4 linked regions of the Sus scrofa genome follow. The protein of the gene in region 1 purifies or fractionates together with the protein of each later gene. This does not show direct contact. Links are inferred from orthologs where the notes say so. Each region holds a gene or a part of one and is shown on either strand. Other genes may lie near its edges.

Evidence for each region.
Region 2: the proteins of VDAC1 (region 1) and cytochrome b-c1 complex subunit 2, mitochondrial fractionate together in Homo sapiens (co-fractionation; 3 studies listed by BioGRID, with this or other methods). This does not show direct contact. The link is inferred for Sus scrofa from reciprocal best matches to the Homo sapiens genes VDAC1 and UQCRC2.
Region 3: the proteins of VDAC1 (region 1) and ATP1A1 fractionate together in Homo sapiens (co-fractionation; 3 studies listed by BioGRID, with this or other methods). This does not show direct contact. The link is inferred for Sus scrofa from reciprocal best matches to the Homo sapiens genes VDAC1 and ATP1A1.
Region 4: the proteins of VDAC1 (region 1) and BSG purify together in Homo sapiens (affinity purification with mass spectrometry; 3 studies listed by BioGRID, with this or other methods). This does not show direct contact. The link is inferred for Sus scrofa from reciprocal best matches to the Homo sapiens genes VDAC1 and BSG.

What each region holds. Positions count from the first base shown.
Region 1 is NC_010444.4:136,303,232-136,307,373, reverse strand, and holds part of VDAC1 (voltage-dependent anion-selective channel protein 1), read left to right. Parts: intron 1-668; coding exon 669-819; intron 820-3,569; coding exon 3,570-3,627; intron 3,628-4,142. UniProt on the Homo sapiens protein: Non-selective voltage-gated ion channel that mediates the transport of anions and cations through the mitochondrion outer membrane and plasma membrane.
Region 2 is NC_010445.4:24,221,962-24,226,103, reverse strand, and holds part of cytochrome b-c1 complex subunit 2, mitochondrial, read left to right. Parts: intron 1-44; coding exon 45-128; intron 129-225; coding exon 226-375; intron 376-1,391; coding exon 1,392-1,456; intron 1,457-3,241; coding exon 3,242-3,298; intron 3,299-3,519; coding exon 3,520-3,644; intron 3,645-4,142. UniProt on the Homo sapiens protein: Component of the ubiquinol-cytochrome c oxidoreductase, a multisubunit transmembrane complex that is part of the mitochondrial electron transport chain which drives oxidative phosphorylation.
Region 3 is NC_010446.5:104,362,647-104,366,788, reverse strand, and holds part of ATP1A1 (sodium/potassium-transporting ATPase subunit alpha-1), read left to right. Parts: intron 1-100; coding exon 101-210; intron 211-2,945; coding exon 2,946-3,080; intron 3,081-3,597; coding exon 3,598-3,790; intron 3,791-4,142. UniProt on the Homo sapiens protein: This is the catalytic component of the active enzyme, which catalyzes the hydrolysis of ATP coupled with the exchange of sodium and potassium ions across the plasma membrane.
Region 4 is NC_010444.4:77,737,690-77,740,606, reverse strand, and holds part of BSG (basigin precursor), read left to right. Parts: intron 1-2,103; coding exon 2,104-2,260; intron 2,261-2,726; coding exon 2,727-2,809; intron 2,810-2,917.

The sequences.
Region 1 (4,142 bases):
CTTACCATTTTTTGGATAGAGCATTTATGAAAATAAAAATAACCTTAGTAGCAGAAGAAAGAAGTCATTCAGAGTCCAGAACTTTTATTTTAAAGAATATTTTGGGGGAGTTCCCATCGTGGCTCAGTGGTAACGAACCCGACTAGTATCCATGAGGATGCAGGTTCGATCCCTGGCCCGACTCTGTGGGTTCAGGATCTGGCGTTGCCGTGCGCTGTGGTGTAGGTTGCAGGTGTGGCTGAGATCTTGCATGGCTGTGGCTGTGGCGTAGGCCAGCAGCTACAACTCCAATTTGACCCTTAGCCTGGGAACTTCTGAATGCCGTGGGTTCAGCCCTAAAATAAATAAATAAATAATAGTAATAAAATAATGACTATTTTGGAAGCAGACTTCAAGTTCCATGCAGACTTCAAGTTCCATGCAGCCTGAGTGGTTGACTGAGCTGCCTCTGGGTGTTCCCAGTAATGGCTGAGATAGCCTTTACCTTCCTCTGAGGCGTCCCGACCCTGCTGTCTGTGCCGTCCCTGTCCCTAATTTGGTGTCTGTTTTGTGATCAATTCAGCCCCTTGACAGCATCCCGGTCCTCTGTTGAACCTGGGCAGCTCCACCCAGCCCAGCCCGGCCCGCCTTCTCACGTGACTTGGCATTTGTGCTGTGCTTGTTTGCAGAAATGATGGGACGGAGTTTGGTGGCTCCATTTATCAGAAGGTGAACAAGAAGTTGGAGACCGCTGTTAATCTTGCCTGGACAGCAGGAAACAGCAACACACGCTTTGGAATAGCAGCCAAGTACCAGATCGACCCTGACGCCTGCTTCTCGGTGGGTACCTGCAGAACCGTGTATTGCTGAGGCCACCTGCCGCTTAGGTGGGCATCCTTTTGGATTGATGGAGTGCCGTGCTTTGGCTAGAGATTTTCTCGCTGTGAAAGAGGTCTCAATCAGTAAAACGATAATACTGATGGGACTTAACTGTGGGAGCCCGTTGTACATGGATTACTATGTTTATTTCTTACACACCCCGTTTGAGATAGGTGCTTTTCTCCCCCCCCCACCCCCCGTCTTTTTAGGGCTGCACCCATGCCATATGGAGTTTTCCAGGCTAGGGGTCCAATCGGAGCTATAGCAGCCGGCCTATACCACAGCACAGCCATGCCAGATCCAAGCCGCGTCTGTGACCTACACCACAGCTCACGGCAATGCCGGATCCTTAACCCACTGAGCAAAGCCAGGGATCAAACCCACAACCTCATGGCTCCTCATCGATTCATTTCCGATGCACCACGATGGGAACTCCCCAGCTTTTTTTTTTTTTTAAAGTATTCCATTTATGTTTTCGCAAATGAGGAACCAAAAGCTTAGAGCTGGGAGTGACTTGCCCAAGGGCCGGCCGTTGCAAAGTGCTGGGATCTTTTGGACGCAGGTCCCCCTGTTGTAGAGCCTCCTTTTAACTGGTCCCTGGTCCATGCTGCAGACTGTAAAGCGGTTCCCTTGAACCCACAGGTTTTAAATGTGTTCATTTTCCCCTCAGTTTTCATTCTCTGACTCAACTCCTGTACCGCATGTTAAGAAATCAGGCCCCGGCATCGGGCAGTTGGCATCTTATCAGTCCCAGCAGTGTTGCTCGTGGTCCCTTGGGTTGCTGCATAGTTTTTGCATAAAATCCTGTCGAGCTCATCTCTGCTGGCACAGGGCATTGCCCGCTGCTCCCTTTTTGGGGTGGAATGAGGACATCTCATGTTGCAGGCCGGTTTCTGGGCCGGCTTGTGATCTTTACAGGCAGCGCATTTTCAGCCTCCTGAAACAGGAACTGTGTTAGGTACGTAAAAACAGAGGAAAAGTGGCCTTGTTGTTTGGGTGGCATGGACAAAAGGGACCACGAGATGGGGCACTGGCTGCCGAGAGGCCTTCCTTCCTGTTGTCGCCTGTGGGAGATGCTGGGTCTGAAAACAGCACGCGAGCAGGAACACGGGCACCCTGGCAGCCCCAGCTTTCGCCAGGACTCCGAGTTCTCATGCGCTGGGCTTGCTCTGCCCCTGGCCTCTCCTTATTTCTCCTTAAAGGGGTCCAGATCTCCCTACACCTCAGGCAGAAGAGCGACGGCAAAATTCGTATTGACTCATCTGCTTTATTGAACTTAATTGTTCATCAGCAGTCACGGAATGCTAAGGTTTAAGCGATGGGCAAGGTCATGCTTTTGTTCCAGTATAAACGGCCGGTTGAGGCTTGTCTGCTAAATTTTCATGTCGGGATGACGTTTGCTTCTCTTTTCCATGAAGAGAAAATTTGAACAATGTTCTGCTGTTTTAAAAAATGCTTCATGGGAGCTCCATCATGGCTCAGCAGAAACAGATGTGACACGGTGTATCAGGAGGACATGGTTCGATCCCTGGCCTCGCTCAGTGGGTGAAGGATCTGGCGTTGCCGTGAGCTGTGGTGTAGGTCGCAGATGTGGTTCAGATCCCGCGTTGCTGTGGCTGTGGCTGTGGTGTCGGCCAGCAGCTACAGCTCTTGATTTGACCCCTAGCTGGGGAACCTCCATGTGTCGTGGGATGTGGCCCTAAAAAGAAAGGAAAAAAAAAAACCCCAAAAACGCCTCATGGCAGTTCTTGTTGTGGCTCAGCGGGTTAAGAAGCCAGCTAGTATCCATGAGGAAGAGGGTTCGATCCCCACCTGGCCATGCTTGGTGGGTAGAGGATCTGGCATTGCTGTGAGCTGTGGTGTAGGTTGCAGATGTGGCTCGGATCCTATGTTTCTGTGGCTGTAGTGTAGGCTGACAGCTGCAGCTAAGATTTGACCCATAAGAATGACCATATGCTGCGGCTGCATCCCTAAAAAACAAAAAACAAAACAAAAGTAAACAAAAAAAACAAACAAACCAAAGAACCCTGTCTGATACTTGCTCTGTTTTTCCTTATTCCAACAAATAGAATCTGGAAGACATCTTCCATACAAGAAAGGTTTTTTATCTCTCTGGTCATCAATGAAGGTGCCATACTTGTTATAACTTAAATACAGACCTACTCAGTATAAATGGAGTTGGGCATACATACTTTAAGGAATCAGAAATAAATAACTTTTTTTTTTTTTTTTCTTTTGATGTTTTCAGGGCTGTAGCTTCAGCATATGAAGGTTCCCAGGCTAGGGGTTGAATTGGAGCTGTGCTGCTGGCCTACACCACAGCCACAGCAATGCAGGATCCGAGCTGTCTGCAACCTACACCACAGCTCACGGTAATGCCGGATCCTTAACCTACTGAGCCAGGCCAGGGATCAAACCTGTGTCCCCACGGATGCTAGTCAGATTCATTTCCACTGAGCCACGACGGGAACTCCAATAACTTCTTTTAACTGAAAATTGTGTTGACTTTTTGAGTTACCCTTCTGAGACTTAATTCCCGAATTTGATTATTTCATTTTGAATTTAATGAATCCTGTAAACAAAGTGGTTGTGAAAAAAAGGGAAGTAGATTCTGGAGTCCAGAGTTGCTTGCTTTAGAAGTTCTTCGTCATTTTGGAGACAGAAACATGAAGTACTCAACGTTTTCACTCTCTTGTCTTTTCTTTGACTAGGCTAAAGTGAACAACTCCAGCCTGATAGGCTTAGGATACACTCAGACCCTAAAGCCAGGTATGTGTTGATGGTGTGTGGAATTAACTCTTTGCCTTAAAAAAATGGGGTGCTGGTTTGCTGCTTTATGTTAATGCTTATAAAATGACTGTCTAGCGCATTGTGAGTGTATATAAAATTTTGTCGTTGAATGTTTATAAAGAAGTGCAGAGAATAAAACATTTGCAGACCAGGAGAAGTAGTAAGTAGGAGCAAAAAAGGCCAAGGCTAACATACATTACATTTTTGGTTATTTTTTCCTATTGTATGCATAATGCTTGATTAGTTATTTCCACCAAGTTTTTATTTTTTATTTTTTTGTCTTTTTGCCTTTGCTAGGGCCGTTCCTGCGGCATATGGAGGTTCCCAGGCTAGGGGTTTAATCGGAGCTGTAGCCACCAGCCTACGCCAGAGCCACAGCCACAGCAACGTGGGATCCGAGCCACGTCTGCGACCTACACCACTGAGCAAGGCCAGGCATTGAACCCGAACCCTCATGGTTCCTAGTCGGATTCGTTAACCACTGCGCCACGACG
Region 2 (4,142 bases), on another chromosome or scaffold:
CTGTTCTTTGAGAAATGTGGTAACCTGTCTTTTTTTGTGTTTAGAGATTTTATTCTCTCAAAGTTGCCCCCAAAGCTTTGGCCAGCGCTGCCCCTGCAGGAGTGCCTCTACAGCCTCAGGACCTTGAGGTTAGTCCCACTGAGTTGCTCACTGGCCCACCTGTGCCTTACTGTCCTTGGTAATATAAAGACATTAATCACATCCCTACTTTATCTTTAAATACAGTTTACCAGATTACCAAATGGTTTGGTGATCGCATCTCTCGAAAACTATGCTCCTGCATCAAGAATTGGTTTGTTCATTAAAGCAGGCAGTAGATATGAGGACTCCAACAATTTAGGAACCTCTCATCTGCTTCGTCTTGCATCCAGTTTGGTAAGCATCTTTACTACTGCAGTGTGTTTAGAAATCTACAGAGTTCCCTGGTGGCTCAGCAGGTTAAGGGTCACTGCTATGGGGCAGGTTTGATCCCTGGTCCGGGAACTTCTGCATGCTTCGAGTGCTGCCCCAAAAAAGAAAGTAATCTGTGGTATCTTAGTTCTACAGAAAAGAACAACAAAGCAACATCCCTATGTTAGTTTCCCAGAGCTGCCATAGCGAATTACTGCAAACAGTGTGGCTTAGACAAAAGGAATTCATCTTCTCACAGTCTGGACGCTGGGAGTCAGGCAGGGTGTCAGTAGAGCTCTGCTCCCTCTAAAAGCTCTAAAAAGAGTCTTGCCTTGTCTCTTTCTAGCTTCTGGTGATTGCCAGCAATCCTTGGCATTCCTTCACTTGCACCTGCGTCATTCCAATCTCTGCTCTTATCACATGGCCTCTGTGTCCAAATATCCTTCTTATTTAAGTTTTTCAGTCATATTAGATTTAGGGTCCATGACCTTGTTTCAAGTATTTGCATCTGCAAAGACTATTTCCAAAACAGGTCGCATTTGCAGGTCCTGGATGAACATGATTTTTGGAGGGACATTATTCAACTCAGTACAGGTACCAAAAAACCACAGGATACTTTTTACCACAGAGAAGCATTAAATTAGTGTCCATCTGAATATTAGTGCTAGAAAATAGAAATCAATTTTTAAAGGAATTATTAAATGCCAGAAATTGAAAGAAAATTATTCTTTCCCATATGCAGATCTCTTGCAGAATAGAATGATGAATCCAGTAAGCTTGTATTTGATAATGGAATTTTAACCTAACTATACTTTATATAAAAATCTGTACTTGTGCTTTTTGGGGAACTTTGTTTCATTATTCTTAAACTAGAAAGGATTCCCTATTTAGGTAATGTTCTTTTTGAATTTAATGACAAACACTAGATTTTGATGTAGAGTGATGTTTGGCAAGCATAGCATTAAAAAAATACTAAAAAAAATTGTTCTTTCTTTTCCAAGACTACAAAAGGAGCTTCATCTTTCAAGATAACCCGTGGAATCGAAGCAGTTGGTGGTAAATTAAGGTTTGTTACGATGAGTAATCAGAAATAGTGAAAACACCAGAGGGTAGTCAGTTGTAAAGGAACTTTTCTATTACCGAGGTGGTTAACAATTTCTTAAGGCACAAGAAGGAGAACACTGATAAATTTGACTGCAAAAAATGTAAAATATCCTTAGGCCTTAAAGTAAAAATTACGTTATCTGGGAGTAGATATTTGCAACATATGTAACCTGGAGAGAATTAATTTGCAAAAATGAACTACAAATGAGGAAAAAACAACCAAAGAGAAAATGGATAGGGAGAGGCTGTTCCCAGAAGAGGAAGCCAGAAGCAAGGATCTTTACTTGTAATCAACAGTGATGACAAGCATTTTATGCTTCTGGTGGAAGTATAAATTAATACAGCTACTTAGAAAAGAACCAGGTAATATCTGTTCATATTGAAAATGAGCATATTTTACAAGCTAACAATTTTTCATCCATATGCACAAAGGAATTCTTTATCGTTATCGAGACTGGAAGCAATTTAAATGCCTGTCTTTAGAGAGAGAGAAAGAGTGTGATACAGTAACATGCTGGGCCTGCTACACAGCAGTTAAGGAAGAACTCGATCTGTATCCACATAGCAGACTTCAAAACAAAATGTTTTGTGGGAAAGTAAGCTTCACAGTTTTTAAAGGTATAAGGTTTTTAACAAAATAATAACATGTCGTGCTTATGATTATACTTGTCTCTAGTGTGGGAGGAAGTGAGAGAGTTAGCCTGGGAAGGGTGCAAAGAGATCTTCAACTTTAAAGTTTTTTTTTTTAAGTTGTAGTAAAATACACATAACATTAAATTTACCACTCTGCATCCACTAACCCCAAACTCCCAATCCATCCCACTCCCTCCGGCTCCCCCTTATATGTATGACTGGGTCACTGTGCTGTACAGCAGAAATTGACAGAACATCATAAATCAACCATTCTCTACTACACAATTTTTAAAATATAAAAAAAAAAAAAAATGTACCACGCTAGAGTTCTCTAAGCAAAGTAAGGATCCAGTGTTGTCATTTCCCACCTTCAGGTGTATAGTCCTATGGCGATAAGTGGCATTAAGCACCATCACCACCACCATCTCCAGAATGTGTTGTTTTTGTTTTTTGCCTTTTAGGGCCGCACCCATGGCAGAGGGAGGTCCCCAGGCTAGGGGTCAAATCACAGCTCCAGCTGCCGGCCTACACCACAGCCACAAGGGGGAAATCCGAGCTGCATCTGCAGCCTACACCACAGCTCACAGCAATGCCGGATTGCTGACCCACTGAGCAAGGCCAGGGATCAAAGCTACATCCTCAGATACTAGTCACCAGGACAGGAACTCCCTCCAGAATGTTTTCATCTTCCCCAGCTGAAACTGTAGCACTGACTCCCCCATTCTCTCTTTCCCCCAGCCCCGGGCAGCCACCACTCTGTTCCGTGTCTGTGATTTTGACTGCTCTAGGCACCTCCTATCAGTGGAATCATACAGTATTTGTTGTCCTTTCATGACTCCTTTATTTCGTTTAGCAAAAAGGTCTCAAGGTTTATCTATGTGTAACTTGTCAAGATTTCCTTCCTTTTAAAAGTTGAAATATCTGCCATTTCCTTTTTGAAGATTTTAAAAAATATTTTACAATTTTAGTTGAGTGTATATACTTTGTTATACTATTATTTATACTTGTTTCTACCTCACAGTAATTTTTTTCCAAAAGAGTTGGTTGATTTAACAAAGCTATAAGGGAAAGCTAATATTGATCTGTAATTCACTGTGATTTATTTTTGACTTAGTGTGACTTCCACAAGGGAAAGCATGGCTTACACAGTGGAATGTCTGCGAGATGATATGTAAGTACTTGTAGGTTTTTTTTGTTTCTTGTTTTTTTAAAGAAATACCGAGCTGCTCAATTCTAGTCTTTTTTTAATGGGGCATTGTGGCCTCCTGTGTTGGTTTTGGATTAGTATTCACAAGGTGCCTGAAGTGGAATATTGAGAGCATTGCAGTTCTGAGGAGTGGATGCTGGTTTTAAATTTTTTGACGGTAACTCTTATCTTCATGCCTTCTGTAGTGAGATCCTGATGGAGTTCCTGCTCAATGTCACCGCAGCACCAGAATTTCGTCGCTGGGAGGTAGCTGCCCTGCAGTCTCAGCTAAGGATTGATAAAGCTGTGGCTTTTCAGAATCCACAGGCTCGTAAGTGCACTTTCAGATTATGTTCCGTCGTTTCTAAGATAACTGCGTTTTTAAAAAGATCAATTTGTAGAGGAATAAAACTGCAGTTGAAATTTTTTTCTCCTTGGGTTTGAAAATGCGCTTTCCAAAAATTTGCCCACTTTTAAAACATACCATTCTGTTTGTTTCTAAACATTTGTGTTGTTGACTATTTTTCATCTTTAACAGTATATAAATTGATTGTAGAATCCTGGGCCTTTTTCCTGTATGTCATTCCCCCAACCTGGTGTTTTTGTGGTTGTCTTCCTTTTTTCTTTTCTTTTTCAGCTGCACCTTTGGTGTATGGAAGTTCCCAGGCCAGGAACTGAACCCGAACCAGATCCAACGCCAGATCCTTAACCCACCATGCTGGCCCAGGGATCAAATCAGCACCTCCACAGAGACAAGCCTGATCATTAACCTACTGTGCCACAGCAGGAACGCCCTACCTGTTATTTTTTTAATGGTTGTTTTGCTTAG
Region 3 (4,142 bases), on another chromosome or scaffold:
GACGAGTTTCACTGACTAGGAAAGAGGACGTGTCACAGCATGTTTTTCTGGGACTTTTACAAAGCTGGCGCATTATTTTCCTCTCTTGCCTCTCTATCAGGTGTCTCATTCGACAAGACTTCGGCCACCTGGCTTGCTCTGTCCAGAATTGCAGGTCTTTGTAACAGGGCAGTGTTCCAGGCCAACCAGGAAAACCTACCTATCCTGAAGGTATGCTCGGGGGTTCTCTTAGGTTGCCTCTAGGGGATGCAGGTGCCACACAAGAACCACCACCTATATGTGTGTGTGTTTTAAGTGGCACATGACCTTGGGGGGCTTTAAAGTAACTTCACCATAGGACACTTGGAACAGTCCATGGGATGCTTTGCTGTGTGTAATGAGTTGTGTTGCCTGTAGATCCCAAAGGATTTACAGTACCTGTGGTCCAAATAGGTCCATAAAGGGGGGAATATATAGTTAAAAACTGACCAGAGGAGTTTCCATTGTAGCTCAGCGGTAACAAATCCGACTAGTGTCCATGAGGGCGCAGGTTCAATCCCTGGCCTCTCTCAGTGGGTTAAGGATCCAGTGTTGCCGTGAGCTGTGGTGTAGGTCACAGACGTGGCTCGGATCTGGTGTTGTTGCGGCTGTGGTGTAGGGTGGCAGATGCAGCTCTGATTCGACCCCTAGCCTGGGAACTTCCATGTGCAGGGGGTACAACCCTAAAAAGACCAAAAAAAAAAAAAAAAAAATGACCAGAGGAGGTTTGGGGGAGGGGGGAGGCAGTCTTTACTGGTGGAAAAAACCTAAGTCCCAAAATCCAGTTTGACTGCTCTTGAATTTATCTGATAATCCCCTAACCTAGTGGACAGTGAGGGCTCCTTGCTTGTGTGACTCAATAATCGCATTTGCATATTAGGATACGGTAGATTCCAGTAAATCTCGTAAGCCATTTATTTTCTTAAAATAGCTCAGCTATTTCTCTTATCTTGTTCTTAGCTTGCCTACTAATGATGCAAAAATAAACTCAGCCTCATGGAATTCACATGAAATTTGAAATGACTGAGATTTTACTGTGTTGCTTAGTAAAAGTCGAAGACCCAGAAAGGTCACGAGCTGCACAGGGTCCTTGAGGGTGAGAAAGAGTTGTGTGGGGCCCTCTGGGTGGGCTCACTCTCACCAACGCCCCCTGTGGTGGTTCTGGGTAGAAGCCAAGCGGTCAGCGAATATAGTTCTGGTGGAACTGGGGTGGCTTGAACATGGGGTTCCTTGATTCCGTAAAGGAGATCTCTTGGCATTGAATTGACGTTGATTTAAGGAGGATATTGTTTATCTTGGGATAAAACTTGAGATGCTCATTTCATGTTTTTCCTTACCTCAAAGTGGAAATTTTCTAGCCTATGAGCACAGAGACTCACAAGTATCAAACCTTGCCTCATTTAAAAGCTCCAGAGGGAGTTCCGTCCATGGCTCAGCAGTTAATGAACCCAGCCAGCTATTATCCATGAGGATGAGGGTTCAATCCCTGGCCTCCACTCAGTGGGTTAAGGATCCAGCATTTCCATGAGCTGTGGTGTAGGTCACTGATGCAGCTTGGATCCTGCCTGGCTGTAACCGTGGTGTAGGCCAGCAGCTGTAGCTCCGATTTGACCGCTAGCCTGGAACTTCCATATGCTGCAGGTGGGCCTTAAAAAGCAAAAAATAATAATTAAAAAAAAAGCTCCAGAAAGGTAGCATGTGATATATTTCTAATTATTTCAGGGGCTTGGGGCCATGGGGTGTTTGTTTGTTTTTTGAGTTTTGGGGGGATATATATATATATATATATATATTTTTTTTTCCCTTTGTCCATGCCCAAGGCATATGGAAGTTCTCAGGCCAGTGACAATGCTGAGTCCACTAGGGAACTCTGGGTCCATGTTATTTTAATGGCATTATTAAAAAAAAAAAAAAAAACCATGCAGGCCTATTCTGCTTCAATAACTGTGGCCTTTTACTAAAATGATCCCACTTCTTTTATGCTTCTCACCAAACCTGGCCACATTTATTAAACAAGGCTGCTGCATTTGTAAGTGGGCATTAATTTGCTCATCTACATGTACGGCCCGGCATGCCAGAGTTCAAAAATGTTTCTCTCTGTATAAGTTGGCGATAGCTGGAAATGTTTTCAGTCTATGTCACCATGTAAGTGTGTCACAGTACATCACACGAACTATGTGTTACCTGAAGTGGGGGCATTCGCTAAAACGTTAGGCTGATTACATGACCATTGGAGCTCATCATAGCTTTCAGTCCGCACCCTTCAGCCCCAGATAATTCTGCACAATTGAATTATGTTGGGAATGTCAAGTCCTCGGCTTTGCCCTTGACACAGACAGTTTGCCTGTGGTCCTGAGAACCCAAGGCATCTTCTTTTAAACTGCAGGGCGAAGAAGCGTGCCGTATTGACTCACTCTCCACTTTTAGATTCCTAACCCCAAATAGGTGATTGGGAATAGTGTTGGCTCAGAGACTTCCCCGCAGGCCTGGGAAAAGTAAAAAACAAAACAAAACAAAAAAAAAAGAGGCCGGATTGGCCAACGAGGACCTGCTGGATAGCACAGAGAACTGTACCAGGTGTTCTCTGACAATCTCCATGGCAAAAGAATCTGAAAGAGAATGGATGTGCGTATGATGCAGAAATTATCACAACCGCATAAATCAACTATACTTCAATAAAATTTTTTTAAAACGAGAGACTGAAGGAGGTGGGGAGGGGTGTTGGCCTTCTCCCACGGGGAGGTGACACCTTCAGGCACCAAGTTGGGGCGGGGGGGGAGTCCCGCTGGCAAGGAGGAGGAGGTTGCAGTTTGCTTCCGAAGGGCCGAGATGCTTCCGGTCACTCCCGGCAGCTGTGCGCCTCCTCGCCCGAGCTCCCCCTCCTTTTTCCTGTTGGCAGGGGGACTAACAGAGGGTCTCTTTTGCAGCGGGCAGTGGCGGGCGACGCCTCCGAGTCCGCGCTCTTAAAGTGCATCGAGCTGTGCTGCGGGTCCGTGAAGGAGATGAGGGAGCGATACACCAAGATCGTCGAGATTCCCTTCAACTCCACCAACAAGTACCAGGTCCGAAGATGGAGCTGGGAGAACCGTCTTCCCCTTGGGAATTGTACACGCGCAACTGCTTTCTTAAAATGAATTACGCACGCTTTTCAGAAATGCTTTAGCTTTATGTCTTACCTTGACTGCAGGTAGAAAGAACGTTCTGGTTTGTTTGAATATCAGTGGGATAAATGAAGCCTCCTTTAAAATGTAGTCGGGGCCCTTCTGCATTCTCAGGTGGGGGTCGGAGTGAGCATGGTGTTGGGGGGAGGGGGCTTGGTAGGGCCGCAGGTGCACACGTGTGTGCCATCCCTTCATTCTGAATTTTCTTCTGGAAAATTCTGGATCTGAACGTATGTCAGGGATATATGAGCACCTCACCGTGCGAGGTTCCTGCGTAGCATTCAAAGCGTGTTTCATCGGGGGAGGGGATCCTGGGTATTTTTTCAAAACAGGCCCTAAATAGTTAAGGGAGTGCAGCTGCCTCCTGGGGCCACCACGCCCGGCCATCCAGCATTTACACCTCCACTGTCCTTCCCAGCTGTCCATCCACAAGAACCCCAACACGGCTGAGCCCCGGCACCTGCTGGTGATGAAAGGTGCTCCAGAAAGGATCCTGGACCGCTGCAGCTCCATCCTCATCCACGGCAAGGAGCAGCCCCTGGACGAGGAGCTGAAGGACGCCTTTCAGAACGCCTACCTGGAGCTGGGTGGCCTCGGGGAACGCGTGCTGGGTAGGTAGATTGCCTGCTAACGGGTGCAGACAAGTCCAGCAGACGATTACATGCCCGCTGTTGCTTATTAACCTTGCAAGCGTTTCTGGAGCAGCCCTCCTCCTTTTTTATTTGCCCCCTATTGTTTTGAAAACAGTAAGTACTAGAGGCGCTGTGGCCAACAAAGTCCTGCTGGGTTGCTTCTGACTCGGACTTTGACCCTGGGTCTTGATGCTGGTCAGTGCTGTTTGCTCAAAAAAGAGGGGAAAGAGAGTTTATCTGGCTTTTCTTGCTCTGCCCGTCATCTGTAAACTTAATGCAATTAATTATTCCGAGGACATCGAGAATCAAGCCACTTCCTGACTGCCACGGT
Region 4 (2,917 bases), about 59 Mb from region 1:
TGACTGGAGAAGTGCAGGTTGCCAGGGGGCCTTCTTTGGTGAAAGTGGTATAGAGGTGAGCATCCAGCCTCATGCCCTATCTGGCTGTAACTGCTTGGCCTGAGGCTTGAGTTGCCTTTTGGTGGCCCCAGGTGGGCAGATGTGAAGGTCGGCTTGTCCCCAGGACCTTGTGGCCAGTAGCTGTGCTCACCCACACAGCCTGGGAACTCTGAGCACACGTGCCTGTGAGTGTGTGTATGTGTGTATACACAAGTAGCTACAGGTGTGGACCGCTAGGGGCCTCCTTGCTCTCCCCCTGGCACTGCCATCTAGTTTTTTGCTTCCGTCCCTGCTGACCTGGGCCTCTGAGACATCCTGTCTTCTCTTAAAGAAAGACCCAGTGGGTAGCCAGAGGTGGGGCACTGAGGCCTGGCCATGCACACATCCTGTCCATGGGCTGGCCTTGGGTCCCACCTCTACACCAAGAGGCCAGCGTCCCGCAGGCTGGAAATGCACCTGGGGAGCCAGGGCCCTCCTGTGGCCAGTCCATAGTGGGACAGAGTGGAGCATGGTCAGCCCAGCAAGAACCTAACAGGCAGGCCTGGGCAGGACCCATGTCCTCCAGGCCCGGATCTCAGATGCCTGAAGAGGACACAGTGCACTCTGTCTGCAGCCGTTCCAGAAAGTGGCTTGATGGGAAAGTCTGGCTTGGGATCCGGGCTTTCATTTTCCTAGCAGCTAAGGCGTCCCTGTGGACGGAGGGAGCCCAGGCCAGCCCTGCTCATGTGTGAGTGTGAACCTGGTATCCTCTGCAGCCAGGTACCCTCTTCTCTTGCTGTGGGGATATCTTTCCTCGGGACTGAGGTTCGCTGATCTGACTGCCAGGTGGCTAAGGTGACTGTCCAAGTGGGGGTCACGACCTCTGATCATTCCACCCAGTTTCGTGTGTTTTTTCTGTGCTCGCATAGTTACACTGTCAGAAGTCACCATGTAACCCCAGGGAGGAAGCAAGGACCTAGGGAGGGTGGCTTGCCCAGTGGGTGTTAAGAGCTGCTGCCTGGCTGCCGGCCTGTCGTCTGTGTCCCTGTAGCTGCTTTCCCCTCAGTGCCTTCTTACTTGGCTGGGTTGTTCAAGTACAGGCTTGTATTCTGCTCTTTCACCTGACTTTACACCACAGGCTTCTTCCTGGGCTGGCTCTCAGCCCGTGTCCTGTGTCCATGACCTTCTCCAGGGGATGCCTCTGAGATATGTGAGGGTGGGTGGCCTTTCCAGAGGGTCACTTCTGGGTAGGCTAACAATTGCGCTAACACTGCTGTGCCTCAGACCCACCTTTATAAAGTCCCCACCGTCCCCAGGGACAGTGTTGTCTGCTCTGGGACAGGGCTGTAGTGTGGCTACTCCACTGATGGGGGTTGCAGCCCTGCCCGGCAAAAGGGTTCTTGTTCTGATCTGCTCTCCTGATCCCAAACACATGGAGGTCTGGGGTCTCATGCCCCAGGGCCCTCCCTGCAGAGGAATCCTCCCAGCTCAAGCCCAGTCTCTCAGCTCTCATAGCCATGTCTCTTACTGTCTAGTTCTAAGTGTTTTCTATGTTTTGGTTCCTAAAGAAAACATTTTCGAGGACGGGGTGGTTTACCTGCTTAGAAACCAGTGGAAGGGCTGCCGGCTGTTCCAAGGCTCTGGGGGTCACCCCAGCCTCACAGGCAGGAGGAAACAGCACACCTGACCCACCTCAGACGGCCTGCCTTGATCAGGGGAGGGGAGATGCAACGCCACCCAGAGGGGATGGTGACCTGGGCAGCAGTAGACTGACTTTCCAAAGGGGCATTTGGGGTCTGCTGGCGCTGGACCCTGCAGTCACTGTCTTGGTCCTTGTACCCAGACCAGGGTGGGCGCTGCTTCTGTTCCCACACCTAGGCCCAGCCAGTTGAGACCATTCCTCCCAGAATCCTGCCTCTGACCCCGAGGGGAGGTCCTTCCAGGGGCCCCACAGTGCTCAGCTCTGTGAACCAGCCCTGGCTTCTCCCTCTGTGCGGTCGGGGTTGGGACCACTCGGGTTTGCCATGGGGACAAGCAGCCAGTGGCCTGGGTTCTTCCCTTTTCACCTTATCTTTGGCTGCCCAGGGAGCAGGATCTGGACCTCGATAGATGATGTTGGCTCCAAAACACGCCTCACCTGTGCCCTGAATCACAGCGCCACTGAGATCGCGGGCCACCGCTGGGAGAAGGGGGGCAAGGTGCTAAAGGAGGATGCGCTGCCTGACCTGAGGACAGAGTTTGAGTGAGTGAGGCCCTCCCAGCAGGGAAGGGGCTGGGGCCTGATCATGGGGCGGGGTCAGGGCTGCTGGCCCTGCCTGCTCTGACCTCTCCTGGCCGCCAGGCCTTGGCCAGGCTGGAGGTTGTAGTTGTGGCCTGGCTTTGCACACATTAGAAACAGGCTTGGGCTGAGGTCTGGGACCCAGCAAGGGGCAGCTGGCTGCAAGACTTCATCACCTCTCAAACCCATCCCTCCTTCCTGTGAGATGGGGTCTGGGCACTCCAGGGACCAATGTGACACCCAGTTTGGGACGAGGAGTGGCTCCAGAAGCCTAGAACACTGCTATGAGCTTGGAGGGTGGTGGGGCCAGGCTCCCTGATGTGGAGTGATCCTGCCTGCTGCCCCGCACACCCCTGGTCCCTGTTCTCTGGGGCTGCCTGTCCGGTGGAGGTTTCAACAGGCTGCTTCTCTCATACCATGTCTGCTACAGGGTGGACTCAGACGACCGCTCAGGCCAGTACTCCTGCATCTTCCTGCCAGAGCACGCGGGCCGCACAGACCTGGAAGTGAAGGGTGGGCTCCCCTGGGCTCTGCAGGGCAGTGTTGGAGGGGAGGTGGGGTGCGGGAGGGACGCATGCGCAAATCCTAATCCAGATGGGGGCAGGGTGTTTCCACCTCTGT